Drosophila melanogaster: one gene and its partner. The protein of the gene in region 2 interacts with the protein of the main gene of each other region in a pairwise test. Each region holds a gene or a part of one and is shown on either strand. Other genes may lie near its edges. The genes, in order: CG10321 and Nf-YC.

What was found.
Region 1: the proteins of Nf-YC (region 2) and CG10321 interact in a two-hybrid assay, tested with the Drosophila melanogaster proteins (one study listed by BioGRID).

What each region holds. Positions count from the first base shown.
Region 1 is NT_033778.4:21,631,923-21,639,616, reverse strand, and holds CG10321 (uncharacterized protein), read right to left. Parts: upstream 4,939-7,694; 5' UTR 4,636-4,938; intron 4,237-4,635; 5' UTR 4,214-4,236; coding exon 1,706-4,213; coding exon of another isoform or gene 1,646-1,705; 3' UTR 1,218-1,645; downstream 1-1,217. Other genes in the region: CG15674 (uncharacterized protein), read right to left, coding at 5,447-6,250, 6,308-6,652, 7,143-7,331.
Region 2 is NC_004354.4:6,816,767-6,823,360, forward strand, and holds Nf-YC (nuclear factor Y-box C), read right to left. Parts: upstream 4,154-6,594; 5' UTR 3,961-4,153; coding exon 3,917-3,960; intron 3,759-3,916; coding exon 2,390-3,758; intron 2,328-2,389; coding exon 1,935-2,327; 3' UTR 1,412-1,934; downstream 1-1,411. Other genes in the region: iav (inactive), read left to right, coding at 1-49, 106-903, 959-1,179, 1,240-1,390; xit (xiantuan), read left to right, coding at 4,327-4,394, 4,450-5,364, 5,428-5,538, 5,606-6,047; Atx-1 (ataxin 1), read left to right, coding at 6,489-6,589.

The DNA of each region.
Region 1 (7,694 bases), on a different chromosome or scaffold from region 2:
TGGCGAATCAAAGGAATTTATTATGAGCAATTATTTTGATCCCCCCCCCCTTCCACGAACCCCTCGCCAGTGCCAAATCAATTAAATTTGAAATGGATGACCAACTGTTGGGAGCCAACAGTCGCCGGTTTTTGTTCGATAGTGCGCGATCCGAAAATAGATATTTTTGAAATATGTATTTTTAAAACGTAAAGCCCCATTAACATTTTTCCCATTGATTTCAAATGTTTGAAATATTTTTGTGTAAAAAATACACTATGTGATAGACTAGCAAATTTGTAGGAAATATTATCTTAAAAAGAATTCTTCTATTTTCTAATTAATTCGTTTTGGCCTACGAAATTTATCTTGACATTTATTTGGCTGCGTGGCCAAGTTTTATTTCGACGGTTTAAAGTGCAAGGACTTTTCCAGCCAAGCATGAAAGCATGACATTTAAGATGAAGAATATATTATAAGTGCAATGAATATATACATATGTAAATGTAAATGTAAAGCATATGATGGTATAGGTAAAGCCCATTTTAAAAATGTTGCATTAGATACAGCTAGTTACGAATCAAAAATCTAGCTATCTAAAATATCTATGTACAATATAAGCTTTAGTTTGGGCCAGATTTTCCAACAGCTGGCTGGAAAATTAAGGGCGGTAAGTCGAAGGTATGCGTCATATTTGTAAGCGGAAAACCAAACCTTTATCTTATCTTGCGAAACGCGGCTGACCGCCATATATAATCTGAACAAAACAAATAAACGCCTGGCGATTTTAGCTGTCACAATGTTATTCCAATTGATTATTTTCGCGGCTTATTTGCTAATTAATTAACAATTTCTTGTGACAGCCGGAGATTTCAGACTGCGATCAGATAACCGATTATTGGGGGGTCACTTTTTATGGATAATATAATATATATGTATGTACATGTACCTAAATCACACTAATAGGCATTTACAGATTTACATAAGCATCCATACGCGAATCGTAGTTATCCAGATACTTCCCATAACCGGATGAACGCGACACGTGGCAATTGGGAATCAATAGACAAGACCTTGGCTTGATTGTTGTTTTCTTTCGATCAATTTTGTTTGGGTTCTGTTTTTTCCCGGTCTTCTGTCAATGCAATTGAACAACAAGCCAACAAAGCCAGCGAATTGGATTACACGCTTAAAAATAAATATTACCGGCCAGATGGGACGTACAAGAAAGACAAATTATGGTTTCATAGAAGGTTTGTTAATTTATTTTGTTGTTCAGTTAAAACAAATTCACTTATTTCAAAGCCCAACAATGAAAACCCAACGCCAAAATACGTTTAGCCTAAAATGCCAGTCTGTATTCCCCGGGAAAACAAAATAATAATAGTAGGGTAATAAAATTAAAAACAAAAACTGGCACAGTCCACGCAGGATTTATGCCCCAAGCGTTTGGATGTGAGGATCCGCCTCGATCTGCCTACCTAAAGTTTCGTATCTGCTTACAAAATTCGAGTGAATCGCTTAGGTCCTACTAAACAAGTTCTACGACAGAAATCTAGGATTGCAATATTTGTGTAGTTGTGCTTATTCCTAAATTGTTATCTAGACGGGGGTAGTACAAAAATATATATATATATATGTATATATATTACATCTAAGTGGTCATCTAAATGCCGAGCAGGCACTCGCCGTTTCCAGGAGCGCCCGCTGCGGCAAACTCCGCTGGCTACGCCTGCGTCACGAAGTACACCTCGCCGGATGAGCCCATGACCACGGCGTGGGTATCGCCCGTGCCGCCGGCCAAAGTCGTACCCTGGCCGGTTGCCATCATGTTCGACATGTCGGTGGTGCCGTTGCTGACGATGCTTACCGCCCCGCTGAAAGCATCGTCCTGGCCACTGATCTGCACCTCTGCACTGTGATCCGTGCTCTCCACATGCAGCTGCAGTGAGTCCACGTTGTCGTACAAAGATCCGCACTCGCCGCACTTGAACAGCGGATCCACAACCTCCGGATGCTTGCGTTCTACGTGCCACTTGAGGTTCACCGCGGACGAGAAGTTCTTTCGGCAGTTGGCCACGCCGCAGCAATACGCTCTCTGCTGGTGCGTCTGTCTGTGCCTGTACAAGATCGCCTTGGACTTGAAGGTTCGATTGCAAATGGTGCACATCGGTGTGCTGGATTCAGCGTCGTGCGTCTTCATGTGCATCCGCAGCATTCCTGGGCCCTTAAAGCTCTTTAGGCAGATCTGGCACTGCGGCTGTTTCTTGCAATTGGCCCGTATCCAGTTGGTGTGGGAGTGCATGTGGTTCTGCAGGCCCTTGAACTGCCGGAACTCGGTGCTGCACAGGTGACAAATGTATCTCCCAGATCCCAGAGGCGAGGTGTGCTGTCGTATGAACTCAGTTACCAGATTAGCATCTATTTCGTAGTTGTCGTCCGCACCGGCGGCTGCAATCACGCTGGCCGTCTGCACCAACTGGCGAGAGTTGGCTGCGGCCAGCTTGCTGCTGGTCGTTGATCCAGCGGCAGGTGGTTGGTGGTCGCAGGGTTCCAGAGTCACACCGGCTGGAATTTGGTGGTTACTTCGCTTGGCTCGCTTTGGCGTCGGACTGGCCGAGCTGACGGTCATAGTGGGACCCACCAGGGCTTCCGTTGTAGTTGTGGCCTGGCTGAACTCTACAACAGCGTTCTCCAGTGATATGCTCTGCATCTCTTCTTGGTGCTGCTGATGATGCGACTGCTCAGAATCCATGAATGCCTGGTCAATGTCCACACTTGTCTCGCCATCCGGCGGCTCCATAATGGAATACTCCAGATCGTCGTCTACGTCGCCGGACAAATGCGGATCCTGTTCCTCACCGATGTACTCACAATCCTGGTCGATTTCCTCCCCATCCGGATCATCGAGCATCTCGTCATCCTCCAGCTGAATCTCCTCGATTATGAACGTATCCTGGTCCTCTTCGGGCTTCATTTGCTCCTCCTCGTCTTCTATCTCGTCCATTGCTTGCTGTTGGTCCAAATCGTCGAAGTACTCATGGTCTTGGCTTTCACTCTGCGTGAGATCCTCGTTGATCATTACTTGGTGGTGCTCGTGGTGGTCCTTTAGGAAGTCCTGCTGCTGATCGTCGTCCAGTACAATAGTCTCAAAGCTGTGATCTGCCTTGCTATCCAGTTGCTCGTACACATCTTCCAGTTCCTCGTCTTCCACCTCACAGCCGTCCTCCAGCAACTGCACGTCGGCATCACCGAGAGAAGCGCCTACATGCTGACCCATATCCGTGGCGTTGGTAGTTGTGGTCACTGTCGTGACTCCGGTCGGAGCCAAACTGCGTTGCGGCACAAGTTGAACCAGCTGCAGGGTCTGCGTGCCATTGGGCTGCTGAACAATCTGCAACGTCTGTCCGTTCGGCGTCTGTAGAAGCTGTGGCAGGAATTGCGATTGCGCAGCGGTGGCCTGACCATTAGTCGTTGACTGCGGCGCTGTGCTGATGATCTGCGCCAACTGCGGCGCTACAATCTGAGCAGTCGTTATCAATTGGCCGTTGGGCAACAGGATCTGCTGCGGCATAGTCGTGGTGGCACCGGCAGCGGACAGTAGCTGGGCGGGAGCAGGCTGAAGTGTGGGCATATGAATCTGCTGGATCTGCTGCTGCATAGTGGGCTGTTGCGGCGCATGTTCCTGCATTAATTGCATCTGTGGCTGAGGGGCGGGCTGCGGGACTGACTGTGGTGCTGGTGCGGCCTCCAAATGCCTCTGCTTCTGCTGGCGGGAGCCCTTGCGGAGCAGCGGCTTCAGTTTTGGTTTGGCAGGAGGCTGATGCTGTTGCTGCTGGACTATCTGCTGCTGGAGTTGCTCCTCGAGGATTTTCTGTTGCTTCTGCAGCTGTCGCTGTTGCTTCCGCTCCAGCTGAAGCTGCTGCTTAGCGTTTGCCGCCTCCTGCTGCTGCTGCTCCTCCATTACCAGTGCCACGGTAAGACCGCGGATATACTCGCGCAGCTCCTTGTCGCTGCGCTCGACGAGCGTCTTGAAGGCGTGATTCCGGCTTACGGCGTGGACGCACTGCACGCAGATCTTGTCCGGCCAGCCCTCCGTGGGCTCCACCCGCACGCTGGTACAGTCCATCAGCATTTCGGGCACCTTTTCGCTGAACAGCGGGCGCATCTCCTTGCGCTCCGAGATGCACAGGCGGCAGATCTTGTCAAGCTCCAGGACCTTCTTGCGATCCATCACTTCGTGTTCCTAGGGGGAGGCTGCAATGGGCCAGTTTTTTTTAATTTAAAATAACCATTAGAATGAGCGGATCCCCGAAAGGTGCATGAGTACGAGGTTTGTTATGATTTGCCCGCCAAAAAATGGTCAATTAAAATTCAGAATAATTTCATCTGTTGTAAAATGACCTGCTAACCCGCTGTTAATAACAGGGACTGTCGACACGTCTGGTAGCTCTTGTGCCAGACAGAGACAGCCATATTGTTATACACAATTTACCATCTTGGTGTTGGTGTGAGCGAAAAATGCGATTTTTAGGCCCAAAAAACGAAACAAATACATAATTCCCGACTTGAATTGGGTAAATATTGTTTTCGATTCACTTGCACCCGCACTTAGAGCACCTTTCGACCGGGTTCCCGCAACAAAAATGAACTCACCTGCGCTGTATTTATGTAATTTTCGCAGCTCGCCCCACATTCAACACAAAAAACTCTTTAAATATGGCCGCGTCACACAAATCGCATTCGGAACTCACATATTTGTGGTTCAGGGCGAAACACACACGTTCCCAGAGATGCGAACTTCAAAACCAAAACAAGTGCACACCAGTGGGTCTTTCGGGACCCTGATCGAATGAAATCACTAGCTATCTCTGGCGACGTTATCAATAAGGTTCTTCCATGAGATGAATGAATTGATGAACTGAACTTCTGCCTCTATCTGTCTTTCTCTGTGTGCGAGTGTGAGTGAGATGATAGGCGTGTTGTGAATGGCGCTGCCAACGTGGTATAAAGACAGAAATCCCTAACGCATGCCGGTCGGAAATCATTTTGTTTATTTCCTCAGATTTCTAGATTTCTTTTTAATACTTAAAACTTCTTATGTTTAAGGCATGAAATTCCATTGAAACTTACCTTTTCTCTATTTACAACTTAGGTTTTTGATGTGGGTCCTTCAGCTCACAAGTCTCTTTAATTTCTCGATTTTAGAGCCATTCCTTGCCGTTCATACCAGGGGATTTCTTTACATATTCAATGAAACACACAACAGTTTTTTGACTCACATTAACATTTTCAAGCCGAAATTTTTAATAAATCTAACCCAAAAAACGAACACACAAATTTTAATTCGAGGACATAGCAATTGAGCTGCCAACTCGTTTTTTAAACTGACATTTCGAACTGAAAACACCTGTTGATCCTGGTGTTATTTTCTGATTTAGAAAACTTAACTTAATGTCCATAATTTTTAGGCGGGTGGAGGCACATTCGTGTTGGCCACTTCGTACATGTGGCGCTTCTTGGTTCTCCTGTTGTGAGCGCTTACTACAATGTATATGCCCAGGATAATAGCGAGGGCCAAAAGCAGACAAGTAATCACAAACCAGCAGTAGAATCCTGGACCTTCCTCATCGTAATCCTCTTCCTGTGCGTTCTCCCACTCGGTATAGTTGCCCGATGGATCCTCCCTTATCTGGCCAACCTTCGGCTCTCGGAAAAGCGAGGCCTTGGCCAGGTTGCTAGACTCCGGAGCCATGAAAACCGGCTCCGTATAATCTATTCGGATGAAGGTGAGCCGGGCCCCGGTCAGAGTTTCCTTATAGCGTCTCAGCCCATGGCCATAGTACTCGTATATGTCGGCGTCGAACTCCCGATGCTGGTCTACCCATTGACCAATCACCTGCACCTTCACCTCGCTCCTGGGGTCCATGCTTCGTCCGAAATAGGCTTTTTCCGCAACATCCAGGCCACCCATACCATACAAGTCCAACTCGAGAACAGAGGACCGGTGCTCGAAGAGCAGAGGCAGCCTGGATAGCTTCCTATGCTGGTACACACTGGACATGTTCACAAGGATCTTCTCCACAAAATCGTAGTTCAGGCTACCGTAAATGGGCTTACGTTCGCCACTGGGATTTCGGAGCACACTGTCACCCAGGTGCATCTTGTAGCTGTTAGTCACATTGCGCCACGGCAGGTAAGTAATGTTCCTCAGCTGGTATGCCAAAGGTTCCAGTTCCACCAGTACGTTAATGTTATCCTCAAGACCATACTATAAAGATAACATATTTGTAGGACATCAACCGAACCATCTTCCCGAGGAACTTACAAAGTTATCGCCAAAAATCATGACCACACAGGTGAACAGATTGTCGGACACCGCATTGACAAGATCCGTGTGTCGGAAGTGACAGAGCTCTGTCTTCTCCCGCTCCACGTTCGTGGCCTTGGCAATGTATGTCAGTCGCTCCTTGGGATTCAGCTCGGCCGCATAGTTCTTGAGCACGGTGTGGTAGGGAATCCAGGCCAGGACCGAATCACCTCCGTTGGCGCACACCTCCGTCTGAACTCCCCTTCCAGTCAGTTCTCCGTTGCGCAGCCTAAAAAAGTGATGGTTATCTCGCCTGATTGTGGTGGAGCCATGATCTGCGCACAGGGTGTCCACGAGGTTTGCCTGGAAAATGAAGAGATAAAAGTAAAAGACTGAAACAAACACCTTGTTCGTATATAACCACCGTCTTCGGCTTATCTCAGGTCCGCCGGCATTATCTTCTTCAGCTGCGATGGACACTTTGTCACTTTATCGTCAAGCTAATTCAATTTGGAATATCAGCCACTCGAATAATTTATTGGCTGGCATTGGATTTGTCACTTAAGGATGTCGATGGGGCAAACTAGTTTGGCGACGCACCATTTGCCATTAAAGGTAGGGAGTTTTTCAAATTGAGGCCATTTTTAACAAATATGGAATCGTGCAATCTGCCTTAGTCGCCAAATAATTGCACTAACTGAAATACTTTTATTCCAAGAGCAGTTGTATCCATAACGAATTGCCATAAATTGACTGTTCTAAAATTCCACTTTTAGTATGTTTGCTTACCCCCCAAGAAAATCCAGAAAACTTTAGCTTATAAATGGGTATTCCCATATGCCCAAAATTTTACCTTCTCGTTTTGGGTCAACGTGGTGGCCTTAATATGGCACTGTAGGTCCTCCTCGCTGGGGATGACCACATGTCGATCGATCTCCGACAGAAGGAGGGGATCTGTCTTAATGCAGAAATGAGGATGTTCATCGAGGGCCGCACCCAGTGTCACCAGCACGGCCAGGCATCCGATGATGATGGCTTTCATAGACATTTCCGCAGATCAGATGCACAGAGTTCTTCGATTGAATTGCTCCACAGCCGTCGATAGGCACACTTCGGTGGTCAAGTAGTAACTAAATTTGCAATTTTCTAACACCTGAGCAACGGCCTATACGAACGCATTCAACTTGACCGCCAAGCTGTCGCACAACGAACACCTTAATATCACCATATTTATCTACTGATGAAGGATTCGGCCGAGATTCGCTTCGATTTTCGGTGAGAGCCGGTCCGTGTCCGTAATAGCGTCACCGAAAACCCAGTTAGTGAGCAACGACCGGGGTGATGAATGTATTCGTTTTCCCAACTTGCAGTCCACACTTGGCGATAAGATAATCGGCACCATTTG
Region 2 (6,594 bases):
GAGCAAGACGAGGGCCAAGCAGCGAAAAGGAGCCGTCTCCAACTGGAAGGTAAGTTGCCATACCCCGTACGCATCCTAATGCATTCCTAAGCCAATCCTCTGCAGCGCGTGGGTCGTGTGACGCTAACGGCGCTCAAGAAACGCGGAATGACCGGCGAGGAGATGCGTCGCCTTATGTGGGGCCGTGCCTCCATCTCCAGTCCCGTGAAAGTGACGAAGCAGAAGCTTAAGGATCCCTACAATCTGCACACGGACTCCGACTTCACCAACGCCATGGACATGCTGACCTTCGCTAGCAACCCGGCTTCCTCCAATGGCGTCACCCTGCGATCGGTAACAGCGCCTCCGCCCGCACCGCCAGCACCGGATCCCTTCAGGGAGCTGATCATGATGTCGGACCAGCGACCGGAGACCCATGATCCCCACTACTTTGCCGGCCTGCAGCAGCTGGCCAATAAGGCTTTCGATTTGGTGGAGCAAACGATGAAGACACAGCCGCAAGCGCCGGTGGCCAAGAAGGTGGATCCACTGCCAGTGGCTTCGGTGGCCAAAGCATCTCCAGCCGCTCCTGCAACACAAGCTACTGCTACTGCTGCTGCTGCTTCCGATCTAATGGCCATGCCACTGCCCATTTCGAACTTGAGCAATCTTTTCCAAGACCCCAAGGACATTGTCGATCCCAAAAAGCTGGAGGAGTTCATGGCCATGCTGGCCGAGGTGGAAACCGAGGAGAGCGACAGCGGCGGACCCATTCTCGGCAAGCTATCGCTGGCCAAACGGACACACAATGCCCTATCCAAGGCGGAAATTCGACGGGATCAGCAGGGATTCGAGGGTCACAGCCATGGACAGTTTCAGCCCATGTCCTCGGTGTGGGCACCACCTGGCCTGGATGTGGACACGGTGAGTGGATAAAAAAAGTGAAATAGCTGAGTGCAAAATGTAAACCCACTAGCAGGGCTTCCACTTCGATGAAGCCGTCGCGGAGGAGGTGCTGACCATCGAACAGGAAGCCGAAGTGGAGACCGAGGACGGCAATGGTGGACAGGACAGCGAGGATATACCCACGGCGGAGGAGGTGCACGCCACTATGAAGCAGTTTCACCTGCGCAAGTGCCAGCCAGCACAGGATGAGGCCGCTCGTCGCGCCAAAAGTGCTCGTGTTCGTCGCCGAAACAAGTGAGTTCCCATCCCAGTGTCCGTTTCATATCTTAATCCCACGTTTTCCTTGGGCGCCAGAGTTTCGCCGGAGCAAAGCGATGATCCGGACGAGCGCAGCCAGCGGGGACGTTCCGCTTACACGCGGCGAACGCAATCGCCGCCCGATCCGCTGGAACCATGGAGCACCCGCGAACTGCAGGACATCAACAAGATCCTGGCCAGAAAGTGAATACAGTTAGCGCAGGAGTTTCTGGCACATAGTCCTTGGTGGCTTATAATTGTTTATCAGATCTTAGCTTAGTTAGAAGTACAAATACATAATAAAGAGCGCGGATGCCACGCGAAACGCTGGGTTATGCTTTGGACCGGTGGCATCCGTCACCCGTCACATACATACACTAATACACTCGATTTCCCATTATTCTCTCTAAGTGCTAGGTTTAAAAGTGGTGGAGGTGGCGGTTTTTTTTTTTGGAGAAGGTGAAACCTGCTGCCAGGGGGCGGGAGGGTCAGCAATAAATTACAATTGAGAAATCGTTTCTACACAGATGCCTACGACTTAGACACTAGCTATATATAATCTCCCCCGCGATATACAATCGTATACACCTACGTAAACTATAATATTATACATTGTGCTGGATGACAGGGGATGGCGCAATCAATGCCCGCTTGCCAATGCCCGATTCCAATGCCTCCCGATGCTTTCGATATGATTGCCAACTGTCCGTCTGTCCGTCCGTCCGTTGGTACGGATATCATACTTCCAGCTTTTACCGAAATCCGCCGGTTAATGTGCGATCCGTGGACATGGTGGAGATCGTTTGTGCCTGTTGCTGCTGCGCCGACTGCTGCTGCTGCGCCTGCGTCGCCGCCGCCTGGGCACCAGTCATGGTCGAGTTGATAAAGATCGGCGTGCCACTGGCCACCGCACTGGCGTTGCTCTGCTGCGTGAGATTGGCGTGCTGCTGCTGTTGCTGCTGCTGCTGATGGGCCACTGTGGGTGCTCCGCCCAGCTGGAGCAGTTGCTGTGTCGTCAGCAGTTGGGTTGGTATGATGACCTGTTGTTGCTGCTGCTGCTGTTGCTGCTGCTGTTGTTGCTGCTGCTGCTGCTGTTGCATTTGTAGTCGCTGCAGGAGATTCAAATGACTGGCATTGATGGCGATCTGCAATGGGAAAGGCAAGTCTTAATCTGGGATTCAATACAATTACCTCAAGTGATACCTACCGGCACATTAGTCAGCTCCCCCGTGGGCGTAACCACTTGCTGCAGCAGCTGAATCTGCTGCTGATGTTGCTGGTGCTGCTGTTGCTGCTGGGCGAGATTCTGGAGCAGCGCCGTCTGTTGCTGGGCAGTCGTTTGCGGCGCTGGCGTTGCGGTCAGCTGACCATTGGGACCGGCGGTCAGTATCAACTGCTGGGTGGGTTGTTGGGTTGACAAAATGTTGATGGGTAGATGATTCTGCGCGGGCTGCGGCTGCTGCACGAGCTGCGCCGCCTGCTGACTCGGCAGTGCGATAAAGTATTGCAACTGTTGGCCACCAGCGCCCTGCTGAATAATCTGAACCTGCTGTGGATGTGCCTGGTGATGTTGCTGCTGCTGTTGTTGCTGCTGCTGCTGGGCGGCGTGCTGTTGCTGCTGTTGTTGTTGCTGCTGCAGTTGCGCTGAGAAGATGTCCGAGTTGACAGTGCTGAAGCCGAGCACCTCGGCGGCATTGGTTGCACCCGTGGTGTCCAGCTTGAGGCCACCAGCGGTGGTCGCAGGTACGGTGGAACCACTGGCTACAAAGTTGCCCGTGGCGGTAGCATTGCCCGCCACGGAGGCGGCCGCATTGGAGGTGGCTGTGTTGGAGGTGGAGGCGGCACTGCTGGCTGCGCCCGCCATTCCGCTCGAACTGGATGTACTGCCATCCTTGGTCTTTTGCGCCGACGACGGTTTGATCTCTTCGCGCGGCACAATGTCGATGAGGAAGTCGAACTGGTCGTAGTTGGCTATGGCCTGGGCAATGTCCGAACGCTGGAGCGTACGCCGCCGGCTCTCCTCGGTGTGCACCCAAGCGTGCATAGTCAGCTCCTGAATGAAGTACTCGCAGGCTTTGGCAAACAGTAGCGGCGCCTCGCCGGCAATCATCTTGGCGTTCTCGTCCAGCTTCATGATTTTCTTGATGCGCGCCAGCGGCAGCACCTGGTGCTTGGCATCCACCTGGCCGATGCTGTGCACCTCGCTCACGATATTTGGCCAGAAGTTGTCGATGGTGGGCGGCGGTTTGCGTGCCACCTGAGTTCGTGTGGCCTTCGTGGTCTTCTCCTTGGCGCCGCTCGCAACGGTGGTGGCCACCGTCACACTCATGCTGGGATTAACCAGCGTACAGGCGTTGGACACCAAACTGGCCATGGGAACCGTCTGCTGTTGCTGCTGGCCCTGCTGTTGCTGCTGCTGCTGGGCGGAGGAGACGGTGGAGGAGGAGGTGACCACCACTGCATTCGGTGTTCTTCGCTGCATAGCCGCTGAATTTTGCGATTTGGCATACGCCTGGCCCAGTTCCATCTTTATGGGCGTCACTGTGATGGTGTTGTCGAACATGGAGGTGGCATTGCTGTAGGGCATTCACATTAGTTTCATTCAAATTATTTGGCATGCACAAATCGCAGAATGAAAACAAAAAGGATCGGCGCACACACTAAAAATCTCGGCTGTACCGCCTGTTTTTTTGGGGGAGGGGCGCTAGATTTTGCTGGCGGAGGCGGAACTTACCTGTTTGGCGCCTTGTTCGTGCCGCCATTGTTGGTGGCGTACATGGCCCGGTTGGCTGGAGACCTTAGCTCGGCGTTGGCGGCAACCGTGGGACTCTGGCGACCGGCTCGAGTCCACAATATTCGCTTTAATTAGCTTCTAATTCGCAAAGCAAATGCGTAATGTAATGCACACACACACACATGCATACACGCGAGCGTCAGTGTGACCAGGCGGCGGTGAGGGCGAAAACTGGACAGCCCGATAACGATAGCTTTTAGTCGGGCTAACTGGCTACTTCCAAGCCACATTTAGCCGGCACAATCGACAATCGCATTCTGCCCGCTTTCAAGCCAGATCGGACAGCACTTACCGCTGATAAGGAATGCATCGAATCTAAACTACAATCCCAATCCCTGAGAGAAACGAAGATGAAGGACCTCTTCTGGCACCTGGTGGGCATAGCCACCGGCCTAAAGATCCTGCTGATTCCAGCCTAGTAAATGCAGTGCTCTGTCCACTTATCAAGCCCACTAAATCAACTTCATCCTTAGCCATTCCACGGATTTCGAAGTCCATCGCAACTGGCTGGCCATCACCCACAGTTTGCCGCTGAATCAGTGGTATGTGGACGCCACCAGCGAGTGGACACTGGACTATCCGCCGTTCTTCGCCTACTTCGAGTGGCTGCTCTCGCAGGTGGCCAAGTACGTGGATCCACGAATGCTGGTGGTGGATAACCTGAATTACGAGTCCAAGGCCACCGTTTACTTTCAGCGGCTCTCGGTGATTGTTACGGATCTAGTGTATGTGCTCGGCGTGCGCAGCTGCCTGGGCTCACTGGGATTGGGCAGGGATACGCAGCAGTTCTTTGCCGCCTCCATGTTGCTGCTCCTCAACGTGGGATTGATCTTCGTGGACCACATTCACTTTCAGTACAATGGCTTGCTGTTCGGCATACTGCTCCTGAGCATCGGTTCCCTCATCCGGCAGCGGTTCCTCTGGAGCGCCTTTGCCTTCGCCGTGCTGCTCAACTTTAAGCACATCTTTCTGTACATGGCGCCCGCTTTTGGGGTCTACCTGCTGCGTTTCTATTGCCTGGAGCAAGCGAGTGTGGTGTCTGCGGTGGGTGCCGTTGTCAAGCTGCTGGTCGTTGGACTTACTCCGTTCGCCGTGTCTTTCGGACCCTTCTGGCAGCAATTGCCGCAAGTCCTCTCCCGTCTGTTTCCTTTCAAGCGTGGCCTAACGCACGCCTACTGGGCACCCAACTTCTGGGCGCTGTACAATGCCGCCGACAAGTTGGCCGCCGGAGTTTTGAAGGTACAGGATGGCGGTGCCTCGACGACGTCAGGATTGGTCCAGGAGGTCAGGCACTCGGTGCTGCCAGCCATCACACCGCCTGTGACTTTTGCCCTGACCGCTCTCTTCATGCTGCCCATTTTGGTGAAGCTCTTTCGCAGTGCCAAGAAGTGAGGAAATCCTCGTTTGGATTCCAAGATATCGCAGCAAACTTATCCGCCATCTCTTTGCAGACAAAGTCCGCTGGTCTTCCTGCGAGCGGTGGTTTTGTGCGGCTGTTCCTCCTTCGTCTTCGGCTGGCATGTGCACGAGAAGGCCATCTTAATGGTGCTCCTTCCGCTCTGGTGAGTTCCCTTCCCCTCAGTTAATTCGAAATGAAGGAATCCTACTAACAGGCCCACCCTTTTTCAGTCTGCTCACGCTGGTAAACCGGGAGGATGCCAGATACGCCTATGTCCTTGGCATTGCCGGCTATTTCTCTCTCTTTCCGCTGCTCTTCGATGCGGATCTGTACATTCCCCGGTATTCCCTGTACATGTCGTACGTGGCCATGATGTACGGCCAGCTGTATCGCATCTTCCCCGGCTTCCGAGGCTTCCACACGCTGGAGTGGCTATACATGCTGGGCTTCATGGCTATTCCGCTGTACGAGCATCTGCTCTCTTTCCTGCTGCACCTGGACCAGCGCCTGCCCTTCTTGCCCCTACTGCTGACCTCCGTGTACTCGGCGTTGGGAGTGCTCTACTTCTTTGGGGCCTACTATCTGTACGCTCTGGGCATTAGCTGGGGCAAGGTGCCCATCGCATCGTCCACATCCGCGGCCGCTGTTAAGAGAAAACGAAAAACCAAATAAACGGAGCGCTATAAAGGGCTTCAGCAGAAATCCGCAATTGGTCACGTCTTGCATTCAGAGTGGTAGTGCTGGTGGTGCAGCCGAGCAGTCTTCAAGGCGCCTGGCGCAACAGCCAGTTCGGCGCCGCTGGACGGGATTCTCTGGTCCGATCGGCACAATGGACAACGAACAATGGCTGTTAAGCAGAATTCGGTGGGCAGGTAGCGGTCACCGGCGGCGTCTAAGGTGCCACGTACCTGTTGGCACGACCAGATTATGGCCTTTTGGGCCATAAAACAGGTACGAGGCGGAATAGTCGGCCGGCCGTCCGTCCGAGTGGGTGACATTCCTGGAAAAACCGTGGAAAACACGCTGGAGCTGAATGAATAAGTGTATATCAATTGCCAGCCTGGGCAGGGAATACTTCAGTTGACGAGCTTCCGTCCAGACGAACAGATCGACATGCAGATGCACATGGAACTCTCCTATGGCCGCGGCTACGATCCAATCGGGAGGCAACCACCGTCTCTTCCTCCTCCGTCGCAACAGCACTGGTCCAGCAAGTAAG